Linked DNA regions of Rhinolophus ferrumequinum. The protein of the gene in region 2 interacts with the protein of the main gene of each other region in a biochemical or structural test. Links are inferred from orthologs where the notes say so. Each region holds a gene or a part of one and is shown on either strand. Other genes may lie near its edges.

Region 1 (7,698 bases), on a different chromosome or scaffold from region 2:
GAGGGTTGCTAGATGGGAGGGGGTAGGGGATAAGGGGGAAGGTGAGGGGATTAGAAAACAGTCAGTAACCACAAGATGGCCTTGGGGTTTTGAAAATTTGGGGAATGTAATCAATAATGTTGTAAAGATTTTGTAGGGTATCCGATGGACACTTGTCTCATTAGGGAGACCACCGCAGAGATGATATAGATGCCTGATCACTGCACTGTACACCTGAAGCTGAAGCTGAACAATAATGAATGTCAACTATAATTTTAATATATATATTTATAAGTGGAGTACAGTATTAGGAATAGAGACAATGGAAATGTAATGGCTGTGTGCGACGTCAGAGGGGTAGTGGATGGGGAGGGTTACAAAAGTGAGGGATATAAATGATAAATGTCTAACTATTACATTGTTTTGTACACCTGAAACTAATACAAAAATAAAATAAAATAAATCAACAAGTTTGAAATTAAGTGCATTACATTAAATTAAATCCATATTAAATAGAGAGCTACTGAGTTTTATTTTATTCATTAAACAACTATTTAATTATTGAGAGTTTACTATGTGCCAAATACCATTTTAGCCATGAGGGTAGAGAAGAGAATAAGACAGACACAACCCTTTCCCTTATATAGTTTATAATCTAAATGGGAGCAGACAATATAAAAATAATCAATATATGTGTTAGAAGGTGTTCAATGCTGTGGAGTGGGGGGACCCAAAGCAGGGGGTGTATGAAATTCTGGGGAGGAGAAGGGCTGCCGTTTCATATCTGAGTGGGAGGGCCTCATTGTTGAGGCGCCGTATGAGCAGAAAACAGAAAGGCTGAGGGCAGCACCATGTAGACACCTGAGACAAGGGCATTCCAGAGAGCCTGCCAGGCGGACAAGAAAGCATGTGCAGAGACCCTGAGGCCAAAGCCTGCTTCGTGTGTTCAAAACACAACAAGAAGGCCAAGACACAACCAGAGCCGAGTGAAACATGTATGTCTCACTAAACAAGTAAACCTCTAAATGTCTGGCAGCCAATCAAAACCTACCTGACATGTAAAGTAGGGAAATACTTCATAATGAGGAGAAAAGGCAATCATTAGAAACTGTCTCAGAAATTACTGATGATAAAAATTAGTAGAAAATGACATTAAAACCATTATTACAACATATTCCATACATTCAAGAAGGTAGAGAAGAGATTAAGTACTGAGCATGACATACATATACACAATTGAACTTCTAGAAATGAAATTACAATGTCTGAAAGGGAAAATACACTGGATGAGATTATCAGCAGATTAAATATTGCAGAAAAGATTAGTGAACTCAAAGACATAGCATAGAAACCATCCAACACGAAACACAGAGACTGGCAAGAAATGAACAGAGTGTCAGTTAGCTATGGGACAAATTCATGTGGCCTGACATGACAAAAACCATAATGAAAATCACACCGAAGCACAGCATAGCACATCGTAACCAAACTACTCAAACTAGTGATAAACATATCTTTAAAACAGTCAGAGATAAGATGCACTGCCTACAAAGGAATAAAGCTAAAAATGGCAGTAGACTTCTTATCAGAAACAACATAAGCCAGAAAATGCTGTATTAAGGGAACAAAAATAAAACTATTAACTTAGAAATCTAAACTTAGCAGAATTATCCCTCAAAAACAAGTGCAATATCCTTTTTAGCTACACAAAAGCTGGCAGAAGTCTTTGCCAGCTGACCTGCACTTCGAGGTCTGCTACCGGAAGTCCTTTGGACAAAAGGGAAATGACATCATGTGGGATGCTGGGTCCACATGAGGGACTGAGGAGTCATAAACATGGTAACTTTGTGGGTAAATATGTAATACTTGTTCTTATTGCTTAAATCTATTTTTAAAAAAATGTGGTCTATGCATACAGTGGAATGCTATTCAGCCTTAAACAAGGAAAGCAATTCTGACATAGGCGACAACATGGATAAACCTGGAGGACATTACGTTGTGTGAAGTAAGCCAGTCACAAAAGGACAAATATTGTGTTATTTCACTCATATGAGCTACTAGAATCGTCAGATTCACAGAGAGACAAATTAGAAGGGGTTGGGGGAGGAGGGACGGAGAGTTAGTGTTTAATGGGGACAGAGTTTCAGTTTTGCAAGATGAAGAGTTCCCATAGGCAGATGGTGGGGATGGTCTCACAACGATGTGAATACATTGTCCCCTCTTATCAGCAGGGACACATTCCAAGACCCCCAGTGGATGCCTGAAACCACAGATGGTAGCAAACCCTAGATATACTATCTTTTTTCCCTAGGTGTACTCACCTTTCCAATAAACAGCAGCATTTTCCAGCTTCTCTTTGGCAAATCTGAATTGCCAACATCCCTGTGCTTGTACTTTGGGTCCATCATTCAATAAAATGCGGGTGACTTGAACACAATCTCTGCAATACCACGACAGTTGCCTGAAACTGAGGTGGCTACTAACAGGAGGGGAACATCTACAGCGTGGAGACACGGGACAAAGGAATGATTCATGGGTGGGATGTAGCAGGATGGCACAAGATTTCATTGCATTACTCAGAACGGCTTGTAATTTAAAACCTATGACTTGTTTATTTCTGGAATTTTCCATTTAATGTTTTTGGACTAGGGTTGACTGTGGGTCACTGAACCCATGGATGGGGAGAAACCATTGTAAACTTAATGCCACTGACCTGTGCATTTAAAGATGGTTGCGATGGTAAATTTTATGTTATGTGCATTTGACCACAATTTTAAAAAGGGAGAAAATTGGCTGCTTAGAGCAGAAATAAGAATGACATGTGTATGGTGTACAACAAATGTGGAAGTAGGACCTCCACAGCACAATTACAGGGGCGGGTGGAGGAGACCTTCTGTGCCGTTCTTATTCTCCAGGTGAGATGGCATCGCACCTGCAGGTGGGCTGCGATCACTTAGAAACCTGCACTAGAAACCCTAAAACAAGCACTGAGATAATCTCACAAGAAGTTATTCCTAATGAGCAATGAAGAAGGTAAAACAGAATCGCAAAAAGTGCCCCTGCCCATTGAAAAGGCCTAGGAGTAGTGACACCTCTGTAGCAGTGAGCACAGGTGTACACATACATAAAAAATTATCAAAGTGTATACTTTAAACATGTGTAGCTATCCCAGTTATGCTTCCATACAGTTGTTTGGAATAAAAGCAGAGTGAGCTGCTTGGATGGGTAAAAATCTCCCATGATGGTCATCGTGTCTTTCCACATGCATCTACCTTCTTGCCTTCTAGAACACAACAATAGCTCACTCCCTGTTCTCTTTGAAGTTAGGTGTGGCCACGTCACTTGCTTTGGCCTATGAATTGTAAAGGGAAAGGATTCTATCAACTCCTGATGGGACCTTCACGAGCTAACGCACAAGTGATGTCATTTCCTTCTCCTGCCTGAGTCATGGTGGGAGCGTGTGTTTACACAACACCTGGGTCATCCTGGGTCTCCACGTGGCCACAGGGAACTGAGTCTCTCTGCCAATGTGAGCAGGACAAGAGTCAAGTGAGAGAAACTTCAGGCATAGGCACATCGGGAGGTCTTTGTTACTGCAGCTAATTTAGCCCATCCTGACCGAATGTTTCCTAACAGACACATCCAGCTACAGAGGTCGTTTTGTTTGGCACTGGAATGCAAACTGGCCCATCCACTTCTGAGGTCTCTTCCAACTTGAAGATATGAGTTATATGTCACAGGTATCACCGCCTGGGTGTTTAATTGAGGTCAGTTTTTCAAGCCTCCACCTACCTGTGTGGAACTTGACTTCTTCTGAAAGTAACACCAGATATTTCTGAGTCCCTAAATATTCCGACAGACACACACGTTGGCTCAGCGTCCAAGGAAAGTCACCATAGAGACTGTGACCAGTGCCCTCTACCAAGCCTAGCTCCGTCAAGGATGCCATGTCCCTTTGCTCCCAAAGCCACTGCTGCCCGAAATGTCAGGATGCTGCTGGATTCTCATCCCTAGGCCTTTTAGGGTCCCCTCAGGGAACGGGGCTACTACTGTTCTAGGTCCAACTATGGGTGTTCCCAGGCGCCTTCAGTTATTGTCCATCAGTCCCCACTCGTCCCTCCAGATACCACTGTCCCCACCCTCCAGATACCACTGTCCCCACCCATGTGACCCTCTGCTAGTCCTGGAGAACAGGAATCCTTGTGAGGCTGGCTCCGTGAGGCATTGCCAGAGAGCAAGAAGGACAGTGTCAGCTACTTAGCAGCAGGTGGGATCTATTTTGGAAGAAATGCTTCTCCCTTCGTTTCCCTGAGACAAATCTTCGATGTGCCTAGGCTTTTGGAAACCTGCTTTTACTCTTTCACAAACCTCCCTTGAAGAGAAAGGAGAAAATAATCGAAGAAAAACACAGATGAGTTTTGCCGTAAGTTTTCTTTCCCCACAGTACCTCAGAATGAAAGCACTTCCCAAGATTAATTAAGAGAAATTTATTTTGTCTCAAAGATCCCAAGTTACCGAGATGCAAAGAATTTTTCACTTCACCGGCCCCGCCCCGCCCCGCCCCGCCCCGCCCCGCCCCGCCCCGCCCGGCTCCCCGCCTCCCGTCCCCCGCCCCCCGCCCCGCCCCGCCCCCCGCCCCGCCCCGCCCGGCCCCGGGCTGCGTGCGCACGCGCGTCCCCGGGCGGGGACTGGGCCTGGTGCGCCTGCGCGGATGGGCAGTCCGGCGGGGCCGCAGCCGCGGGGTGGCGGGCGGTTGTCTTAGAGACCGCGCGGGCCCCTCCGTCCTCCGGACCCCGCCCCACGCCGTTGCCCACCGAGCCGGACGATCCCCGGACGACCCCGGGACGACCACGCCCGTCCCCTGCCGCCGGCCGGGCCGGAGCTGCGCCGGGACCCGCGAGAGGCGGTGCCGCCCCGAGATGTCGCAGACGGCCATGTCGGAGACCTACGGTACCGGGCGCAGGGCCGGGGGCGGGCGGGCGGTGCGTCCCGGTCCAGGCCTCCTGCCGCGCTGACGCCCCGGGTTCCTCTCGGCGCGGTCTGGTCTCCGTAGCGCGGGGTTTGGGAAGGCGGCTCGCGGCTGTTCCATCTGCGGCATTGTCCCCAGCGAGGGACGTGACGGGCTCGGGCGACGCCTGCGGCCCCGGTGGACCTTTGCTGCCTTGGAGCCCCCTCCTGCACGGGGTCACGGGTGGGGCCGGCTCTGTGAGCGGCTCTCGGGGGCGTGTGCCCCGCTCGTGTCCCCTCGGGTTCAGCCCCTTCTGGTTGCGCCTGACGTTGGCAGTGTCTCCAGACGGCGGGCACCTCGCGAGCACCGGGGCCCGCGTTTGCGCGCCGCTGCTCCCGTCGGCGCCCACACCTGCGGGCGCCCAGCACATACCTTTTGAATAAACCGAAGCCTTGCGGAGTCACGCGCGGTTTTCGTCTGGGTGTGAGGCCTGCGCGACAGAAGTGAAGTGCGCGGTGTGCGCGCCCGCCCTGTCGGGGCTGAGCTGGCGCCGCTTTAGTCGCCCTGAACGGCGTGTGCATTCAGGTCGAGGCCGATTGGGAGTTTTACAGCCCAGGTCAGAGGCTCGGATTCAAAAGTGTGTACCTCACGTCGGATCACTTTTGTCTCCGTTTGTGCTGTCACGCTGCTCCTTCCCCTTCAGCAAGTGTGTGTGCACGGGCGTGCGGAGCCGCGCTGGAAGGCGCTGACTCCCGGCGGGCGGGCGGTCTGGCTGGGGGTTCAGTGCGGACCTGCTTATGCCACTGACGAGTGACTAGTTAAAACCCCTGGCAGGAGTTCCGAAGCCTGTGGTCTGTGAAAGTATGTGAGAAAGAAACCTAACCCAGGCTGGGGGCCAGGGGACGGCAGCACAGCACGTGCCCAGGCCCAGGCCGGGAGGGAGATGCAGTTCCACTGGGGGAGTGTGGCTTGGGCCCCACAGCCCCTGGGAGAGCCCTGAGGGCGAGGCACAGAGGACCTCGTGCGAGGATGTGGTCTTTCTCCCGAGAGCGGTGGGTGGGTCAGTGCATTTGCTCCATGTCCTGCCACTCCTGGGAGTGGTACATGCATGGTGACACTGGGGGGCACTGCAGCAGGTCTGTCCCTAGAAGGCTTTGGAGATCCTCCAGGAAGTCGCTGGCTTCACAAGGACCAGTGTAGTCAGAGCTGCAAATGCTACAGTACGTCACATCCCGTCACATCCCCGTGGTCCATAGAGAACCACTGTTGAATTTCTTAAAGAAAATATATTTCTCTAGCAATGTTTGATTATACTTTTGCTTTTCTTTATTTTCAAGTGCTCCTAACCTCCACACTCCTCTTTAACCTGGATAAGGAGCACAAGAAAGGGGTGAAAAGTCTAAATAAGAAAAGCCAGTGGGGTTATGAAATAATAAGAAATGAGTGGAAGAGTTCATTTCTCTTATATGGGATGATAACCTTGATAAAATGGAGCATGCCTCTGGCATCTCTGCTTCCCTTCTGACAGTGAATTAAACTTTTGAGCATCACAGTAACTGATTAAATTTGATCCTAAGGTTTTGACCATCAGTATTCTTATTTCATGGTAACTTCCAAACATGTTTTTACTTTTTACCAACAGAATTTAATCTTTCTCTCTAGAGGAAACAAATAGAAAATAAGTTTTAGAAAGAGCAAATGTGGAAATTGAAAGTGTCAACCTAAAATTAAAAATCACTCCAAACCAAGTCCTAAGCTGTCACCTTCCCTTATTGACCATTTTTGCACAGCATTGTGCCCCAAAGGTAAATCAATCAGGGGCCCTCCTCCCACACATTTGCCTCTTGGATAGCTGGTAAAGGAATATTTGCCTAATCTTTAAACTCCTTTCTAGTCTGGGCTCACTTTCTCTCTTCTGGGAAAGAAGGCTCTGTGTAGCTTGACCGGGATGATGAAAAAGGAAGAGCCAGGCTTATAATGTACCGTTAGTGAGCTCTGTCTGCCCTCTGTGTGCCTGTTAAAGCATTTGATCCCCTCATAGACTGAGGAGTGTGCAACATTTTGCTGCTTTGAAACCACTAACCACATGAAAACTCTATGTATTATTGTAACAGAAAATTGAAATAAACACAGAAGTTTCAGATTGAAACCTTCAATCTGAATAGCCGTCAACTAAAACAGTGGTTCCCAAATGTTACCAGGTTCATGACACTTTGAAAGCCCTGGCCAAGTAGGCTGGCTTGGGACTTCCCAAGGAACTGCAGCCATCTAACACGGGAGATCGCAAATTAGCTTTAAGTAATTTCTGATAATCAAGATTTATGAGACAAAACTAACAAATCAGAGAAGTATTAATAGTTCCCAGCAATGGAGTTCAGAAAGGAGCTAAAAAGTGTTAAGTGATGCAGAAAATGCTATGAATTAAAAATAAAAAGTTTAAGGGCCGAGGCAGTTTGAGAGAGGAAAAATCTAAGGTAAATCTCTCTCTACACACTGGAGTTTATGCCTTCTACAACAAATTATGGAACAAGAACACAAATTGTTGGTCCTGTGCTAATTCTTATTACAGTACACCCTTAATGTTTTTATTTTGAAAGTATAATAGTATTTACTACATAATTTTGAGAATTATCAGGATATTGAAATTATCGGGATATATATCATTATAGGCTGTTGTGGGTTGAATTGTGTCCTGCAAAAGATATGTGCAGGTCCTAACCCCAGTACCTGTGACTGTGACCTTATTTGGAAATAGGGTCTTTGTAGATGTG
Region 2 (7,829 bases):
GATGATGTAATACAGAATTGTACACCTGAAATCTATGTAACTTTACTAACAATTGTCACCACAATAAACTTTAATAAAAAAATAGTTTTTGAGGTCTCAAGAAGTTAATACTTTCCTAATGTTTAACTTTCTCTCTCTAAGTTGCATCTACTTTAAAAATAAATCCCTTTTTTGTAACGACTAATTGAATTCTCAAAACAAAGTGCCCAGATGAGGACTCGCCCAATTTCAGCTCGCAAAGGGATGCGGTACCTTGGGGCGGTCCCACTGCAGGGCGCTGTCCGGGCTTGGTGTTTAACCTAAGCTGACATGCCTCTGCTCCTTGTCCTGGTTTAGCTCCCTGTGGTGTCCTACATCACCCCTTCTCTGGCCACATCACCCCCTTAACGTGTTATCCTATCCCTGCTGGTGAGCAGCTTATTATCAAAGACGTAGAAAACACACTCGAATCTTCTCCGAGAAGTTGCACAACAGTTGCCAGTTTTACCTTCTTGGTCATTAGATGTCCACTCCATGTTCCAGTCGTCTGGTCCAGGTACAGAATATCTCCTAGTAAAATATTCTGTTGCTTCTGTAAATACAGATAGAAGAGATAACCTGATTTGTGTGGTACAATTTGTTCATAAAGAAACACTGTATAGAATAAGAAGGGGGAGGAGGAGGAGAAGGATAAGAAACAATATTTGGTCTCTGCTCCTGGTTCCTGGCACAGAGCTCCTAAAACCCGTGTACTTTTCCTGAGTAATGGGGGACATAGTTGTATCTTTCGTTATTTCTAATAAGTGCCATTCAACCATACCTGAGTTTATGCTGATGAGGTGACTCAGGGAGGATGAGGGCTGTTGTCAAAAGAATCAACCATGTAATTAGAGGGTTGGAACATTCATCCCCACCACTGGACCTCCAGGGACGTGAGAGGGGCTAGAGATTGAGTTCAACCACCCAACTTCATCAATCCTGCCCAAGTCATGGAACCTCCATAAAAAGCCTCAACAATGAGGTTCAGAGATCTTCCAGGTTGCTGAACACATCAAGGTGCTGGGAGGATGGCGTGCCCAGAGGGGCATAGCCACTCCACATCTGTCTCACACAGCTTGTCCCACATATCTCTACCAGTTAGCTGTTCCTGAGTTGTATCCTTTGCAATCAACGGTTAAAGTGCTTTCCTCAATACCGTGAGTCATGCTAGTAAATTGCCAAATCCAAGGAGGGGGTCGTGCAAATCCCCAGTTGATAGCCAGTCGGTCAAAAGTACCAGAGGCCCACACTAGTGATTGGCCTCTGCAGTCTTGTGGGGTCTGCACCCACTCTGCGCAATTAGCATCAGAAGTATAGTGAGTAAGGAGAGTTTTCCTATTAGGTGATTACGCTTTCACCTGCTAGACATTGATGGATGCCATCTCAGAAACAGCACCTGCATCTCAGTCAGTCACAGCCACCACAACAAGCTACAAGTTTTAAACTCAAAATATTCACCTGTGGGTATTTTGCCCTAGTCCCTGCAGTTACAAGGCCATTTAGAGAAGCAAGTCTTCATAAAATTAAAATATTCACTAATGAGTATGTTAGCAGTACCCCTTATAAAATCTGTTACCGCTTATAAAATTAGTCCCTCCTCAAAGCTCACTTCCTGCTGAAGCCCAAAGCACTGTCCCCAGTACGGACCCGATGGCCAGCCAGTCTCTCACCAGCTGGCAGATGTCTACAAGGCCAATCAACTGTACAGTGAAACTGTGCATCTTGCACAGGATGCAAGATTTCACGAGTAAACAAAAGTGATGCTCAGGTCCCCCTCAATTCCCACACAAAGCCCCTACACGTAGGGTCGGCAGAAAAGGAAGTCAACGCTGATGAACTTCAAAACAGAATGGTTGGAAAAAAATAATGAATTTACAACTTATATTAAAAGTAAAGAGTGAGCTCAGATAGGCTCACAGTATAGAGTAATAATACCATAAAATGGCTTGTGTTTTCCAATAAGCAATCCCATGAAAGCAGCCAGAAGAATGAATAGCATTGTGAACAGGATTAGTTTACTGCTTTTGGCCTATTCGCTTGAGTACTAGCTATGTGCAAACAGATACAACTAAAATGGAAATGGAACCACAGGGGAAAAAAAGAGATATGATAGGTCTATAAAAGATTGAAGAGAACTTGAGAAATAAGATGAAGCCTAAGTTTTGGACCCTCTTTCTGAGTCCACCATAAATCAGCTAAAATGAATGATGCTATGTCTTGATATCAGGTAATTTTTCAGAAAAATTATACAAAAGAATCAGCATTTGTTCATTTTTGTATTCATTCTAAAAACCAGCACATGGTTGCAAGCATAGTCTACATTTTATTAAATATAAGATCAAATATACTTATTTTCTTAATTTATGTTTTCATTTTTTAAAAAAAAAATGTCAAGCCTTTTTTGGTGATTTTTCACTTCATGGAACATTGGCTGCTGTTGCAAACAGATTCACTTTTTTACATATCTTTTTACTTTTTCTTATGAAAATACAGACATTCAGAAAAGTAGAGGGAATATGTAATAACTCTCGTACACTTGTTACCTAGATTTCAAAAGTGTCAAGCTCTTGCCACATTTGCATCATCTATTTTCTTTTGCTGAAGTATTTTAAAATAAATTATAGACATCATAACATATCACTACTTGATACTCTAATGCAGCTGTAAAAATAAAGGCCTTTTCCTACACACCCACAATCCATTATCATACTTAAAAAATTAATTCTGCAATATCTAATATCCACATTCAAGTTCCCCCAATTGACAAAAACCAATCTTTCCCAGCAGGTAATTCTGGTCTCTTCAGGTTGCCTCTTCATTCTATTAACTTTTGCTCCAAAAGACGCATTAGAGCTGATCATCCAGCTAGGTCTTATTTTCGGGGAAACACGGTATATCTTCTATAATGCCCCATTTACAATTCTGAAATGAAATTCATAGATAATAAACCTACCTACCAACACTCAAAATCTCAAAAAATTAGTATGTCCTAAGAGAAATAACTCCATAATATGTATTTCAATATGTAAATGAGGCACAACTACCACTAAAAGCAATGTAACTATTTGTACCTTTATATAAAATAGCCATGACTGTGACAGACAGCACTGGCATCATCTTAACATCTCCAGCATTGTTGTGGGTGACATGATGTTCTGAAACGGTTAATAACTTTTAGGTTCTGAACAAATCAATTTTGTTGCATTCTGGGAAAATTCAAAATGCATTTCTGGTAGTCATTATTCTGTTCACCAATATTCCCAGTTCTCCTATTCCACTAATAGGATTGAACTTCCCAATTCTATTGAAGTTAGAGTTGCTATGTGACTTGCTTTGGCCAATGAAATGTGTATAAGGGAATAATCACTTCAAGGCTGGGGCATTTACTATTGATGCAAAACTGCTCCAAGTGACAGAACCTCCAACAGCCCGGCATAATGACAAACTTCTGTTATGGGAAGATACTGATATTTGGGGGTTGTTACTGAAGCATAACCTAGCCTGATATAGTATTAAAACTGTTCCCCTCAAGAATAGTTTATGTTTTTATGCAAAATGGAATTAGGCTCCAGGCTCTGATCATTATAAACAAGCTTTGCACTTACATGAATGTCCAGGGGGAAGGAGAGTCCTGAAGGATCCTGGACAACTCTTTGTCATTCCAAACTACCCGACACCCCATCCGCCCCTCCACTCCTCAATCACTGTGACAACTCAAATGTCATCCCCACCAATTCCCCCACTCACTCCCCACTCCACAAAAAACAATTGGCCTTCAGGGATCAGGCAGATCATGACTAGTACACTGGGCTGGACCTACACGCCTAGAGAACCTGGGCTTCTGAAGGGCAGCCACTGCCCACTCCACTAGTTCGCCGCCATCAGCAAACATACTGAGTTGCCAAATCTTCCGATGCTTCAAGGGACAGCCAAAATCCAGCTTTTTATGCAAAACCGGTTGATTTCTAGATATCTGCAACAACCTGAAAATTTAAAATGTAAGCACTCTGGGAGTCAAACCAAACAGTTCTGCTTGTTTGATGGTGCCCACGTGCAGCACTTTGCAAAAAAAAAAAAAAAAAAAAAGTGTCAAATGCTGGTGAAATTTGAGTTTCTACTTTGTCAAATTCCCTTCTTTTCCAAGTGCCAAAACAGGCTATAAGTCGTTAAGAGTGCCTTGCCTAAGCCGCATAGTTGGGTAACAGCCATCACGATTGCTAACGTTTGCTCCGTGCTCCTTACTGCAAAATCTTACTTAAATAATGAGGTAGGTTGTTATTGTCCCCCTTTAGCCAATTAATAGCAGAATCTGGACCTTCAGATTTCCAATCCACCTCAGTGGATTTTCTGCCAAGCTGTGGCATTAGGTCCGTAATTTTTTAAAACTTCTGTTTCCTACCTCTCCAGTCCGTTTCCTTACCCGCCCTTTTGCTTGTTCTGAAGACTGCTGCAGAAAAGTGAAATAGAAAAAGCAAAATATGAAATGAAAATAAAAAAGAGGAACTCGTGTCACAAAGAAAACTAAGGCCATGTGGGCTGTGTTCTAGGCTGGGACCAAGAGTAACTTCACGGAAAAAAGTCCTCCCGACTGGTGGGAATAGGGGCGCTCCTTAGGTTATGACCGGTACTTTCCTGAACCTACTTAGAGTGGGAGGGAGGGAGGGAGGGAGGGTGGTGAAGAAGAAGACCGACGTCGCGAACAGGAAAACAGGACAGCAAGGGTGTGAGAGCGCCGGCCCGCCCGCCCCGAGCACGCGGCCCGCTCGGGCCACGTGACGCGGCCAAGATGGCCGACGGGGGAGCCAGCTGCTCGGCGGGGCGGGAGCTCGGGCCAGGGCCGGAGCAGGCGCAGGAGCCGGAGCCGGGAGAAGAGTTCGAGATCGTGGACCGGAGCCAGCTGCCGGGCCCGGGCGAGCTGCGGAGTGCAGCGAGACGGCGGGCCGCGGCGGACGGCTGGTCCGCGCCCATCCTGACCCTGGCGCGCAGGGCCACCGGCAACCTGTCGGCGAGCTGCGGGAGCGCGCTGCGTGCGGCCGCGGGACTGGGCAGCGCGGGCGGCGGCGCCGACGGCGCGGCGCCGGCAGGTAGGTCCGGCGAGCGCGTCCCGCCCGTTCTCCGCTCGGGTCAGGGGGTGGTTGGCTGTAGGAGGGCGGCAGACAAGACCCTGTTAGACTGGTCGTAAGAAGCCAGTGTGTTCACGCGCCTGGCTTCTCTTCTGATTTCTCTACACTCTGCGGCTGCGCAGAGATGAATTCGTGGCTTGGGTGGTGACTCCCACTTGTGTTCCCCAGACAACGTCGTTATATTCATTGGTGGGCCTTAAGAAAATGTACGAGTTTGAGCTCAGGTTATCTGTATGGGATTTAAAAAGCACTTAAGTAAATCCAGGACTTCTGCCGTAAATCTCAAAATGCCAGCCCAGCTCACACCTGCAGGTGTGACAGCGCATCCACTCTCCGCAAGGAGTCAAGTCACCACATTTCCCAGCCAGTAAAATGGGGAGTTTTGATTCACCCAGTGATTCCCTACAGTGCTTTCAGCCCTTGTCATTAGTGAGAAGAATGGAAACATTAAATGTGTGACTCAGTGGCCCACGGGGGGCTTGTGGCTACGTATTGCATAGTGCACTGGGGACATTTTCTTCTGCATAGGAAAGTGCTGTGGGGCAGAGCTGACTAAAGACTGGAGTGCTCTTTAAGAAGCATTAGTGTGCCTTGGAGGTTTCTTGATTCTGTCCTACCCACTGGCAACTTTTCCAGAATAGTGAATTTTGAGAATCTCAGTGGTTAAGAAAGATTAAGGAGTAAAGTTTAAAATCTGACTTCTTTTCAGATTCTGACAATGGAAAGTAGGACTAAAAGGTAATGAGGGGCTGCTCTACCCAGGAATCTGGTCCCCAATCCCTTGCCCGCTTTGTGCATGTCAGTGAGTGTTTGCACACCCACCCACTGGCAGTCAGTCCCAGAGTCAAGGCCTGGGGTCTTCTGGAGGCCTCTCAGATAGTTCATGGTAGGTAGTAAGCAAATAATGTTACCTGTTCACTGATGAATAAAATGTTCCAATGCCCAGAACAGTGCCTAGCTCAGAATAATAAATATTCGAACAAATGCCTATTTGAAAAATACTTGTTTTCCATTTATGAGCTATGAATAATAGCCAACACTTGTATTGTGCTTACTGGGTGCCAGTTATTAGTCTTAGATCTGTACATAATTCATTTAATCCTCACTGTAATCCTGCATAATAGCAGGACTGGCTTCATGGTGTGTAATCGATGCAGGCTTTGGTTAATGTGGTCCAACAGGGACAGGCACTGAGAAATGACCCATGCTTGAAATTCTTAGTAATTATATCTCTGAATTTGTGTTTTGTAAGTGAAGGAGCGAACAAAGGAGCATGTGTGGGGGTCTTGGAGTCGGACTCACGTGTGGTCCCACCTTCCACTGCCTCCGTGGGACAGGTTCTCAGCCGCCCTGGCCCACTCAGACTACCCTGGGGCACTGCTGGCCTAAGCAGGGTTGGGGTCTTGCCTTTTGAATCTTAGAGTGTCCACTGCCATGCCGCACCAGGCTGGCAGTGCCACAGCACAGTAGGCAGGCAACCGGGCCTCTCATCCTCCCCAGAGGGTGGTCCCCATCTCTGTAGGAAGGTGCAATGCCTTAGGACCCACGAAGGGGAGACTGACTTCCTCGCCTTTCCACATGGAGCCAGCCCATGTGATAGGTACCATTTTATCCCCGTTTTAGAAAGGAGGGAAACTGACTTAAAGAGTAACTTAGAAATGGCAGAGCCCATACTTGAACCAAGACACCTGCCTCTCAAGCCATGCTGTTAGTCACAACACCCCAATGCCTCGATACCTCTAAATAGTTTTATGGTAAAATGCCTTAATATATGCGTATGGATTTTTTAATTAGATTTAATATTTTAATGAAAATATTAAATAAATGCCACTCAGATCTGGCAAAAATTGTGAACATGACTGAACAAGGACTGAAATGTGGGAAACAGCTGGGAGAAGCTGTGGGCTAGTCCACGAAGGTCACCGGGATTTGGAGCCATCCAATAGGACAGGAGTGGAGGTGGCGAAAGGAGGTGGACCCGGGCACCAGGCTGGGCAGAGGCCCCCGAACAGCAGGTCAGGAGAAGACAGTGGCCCCGCTTCAGCAGGCTCATTCGTGTCTTTCCCACCAATCTGCTTCCATAAGTGATGAGGATGCAGCGTTGTCAGAGGGAGCAGTGAAGGAACAGAGGTCGAGTGTCAGCAGGCCCCATCCCAGAAAAAAATTGGGGGTAATAAAGGTTAAAGGGAAACACTGTGGAATGTTGTGGAATGCTCTGAGTATTTGTTGTACAGCATTATCCCACGTGAGGTCTGGTAGCAGCACAGCAGGCCACAGCAATTGCATTCACATAGTTGTCTTATTTGGTTTTTTATTTTTTAAATATTCTTTCTCTCTCTCTTTCTCTTTCTTTCATTTATTTATTATTGGGGAACAGTGTGTTTCTCCAGGGCCCATCAGCTCCAAGTTGTTGTGGAGGGCACAGCTCACTGGCCCTTGTGGGAATCAAACCGGCAACCCTGTTGTTCAGAGCTTGCGCTCTAAACAACTGGGCCATCCAGCCTCCCTGATTTATTTTTTTAAGATAATAAACGTGCATGGTGGGGGAAAAAAAACATCTAACCATACTAAAGAAGACTTGTATAGAGGCAGTCCTTCATTCCAGAAACTGACCTCAATCCTGTTCGATCTTTCAAAGGGTGTGTATGCTTGTAGCTATCCTTTCATCTACACAGTTTTCATGAAAAC

The links. The genes of interacting proteins can lie anywhere in the genome.
Region 1: the proteins of RUFY1 (region 2) and RAB4A form a complex in vitro, tested with the Homo sapiens proteins (2 studies listed by BioGRID). The link is inferred for Rhinolophus ferrumequinum from reciprocal best matches to the Homo sapiens genes RUFY1 and RAB4A.

Annotation. Positions count from the first base shown.
Region 1 is NC_046310.1:27,088,157-27,095,854, reverse strand, and holds the start of RAB4A (ras-related protein Rab-4A), read left to right. Parts: upstream 1-4,658; 5' UTR 4,659-4,898; coding exon 4,899-4,929; intron 4,930-7,698. UniProt on the Homo sapiens protein: The small GTPases Rab are key regulators of intracellular membrane trafficking, from the formation of transport vesicles to their fusion with membranes.
Region 2 is NC_046307.1:2,763,705-2,771,533, forward strand, and holds the start of RUFY1 (RUN and FYVE domain-containing protein 1), read left to right. Parts: upstream 1-4,764; 5' UTR 4,765-4,804; coding exon 4,805-5,102; intron 5,103-7,829. UniProt on the Homo sapiens protein: Activating adapter involved in cargo sorting from early/recycling endosomes. Regulates retrieval of proteins from endosomes to the trans-Golgi network through interaction with the dynein-dynactin complex.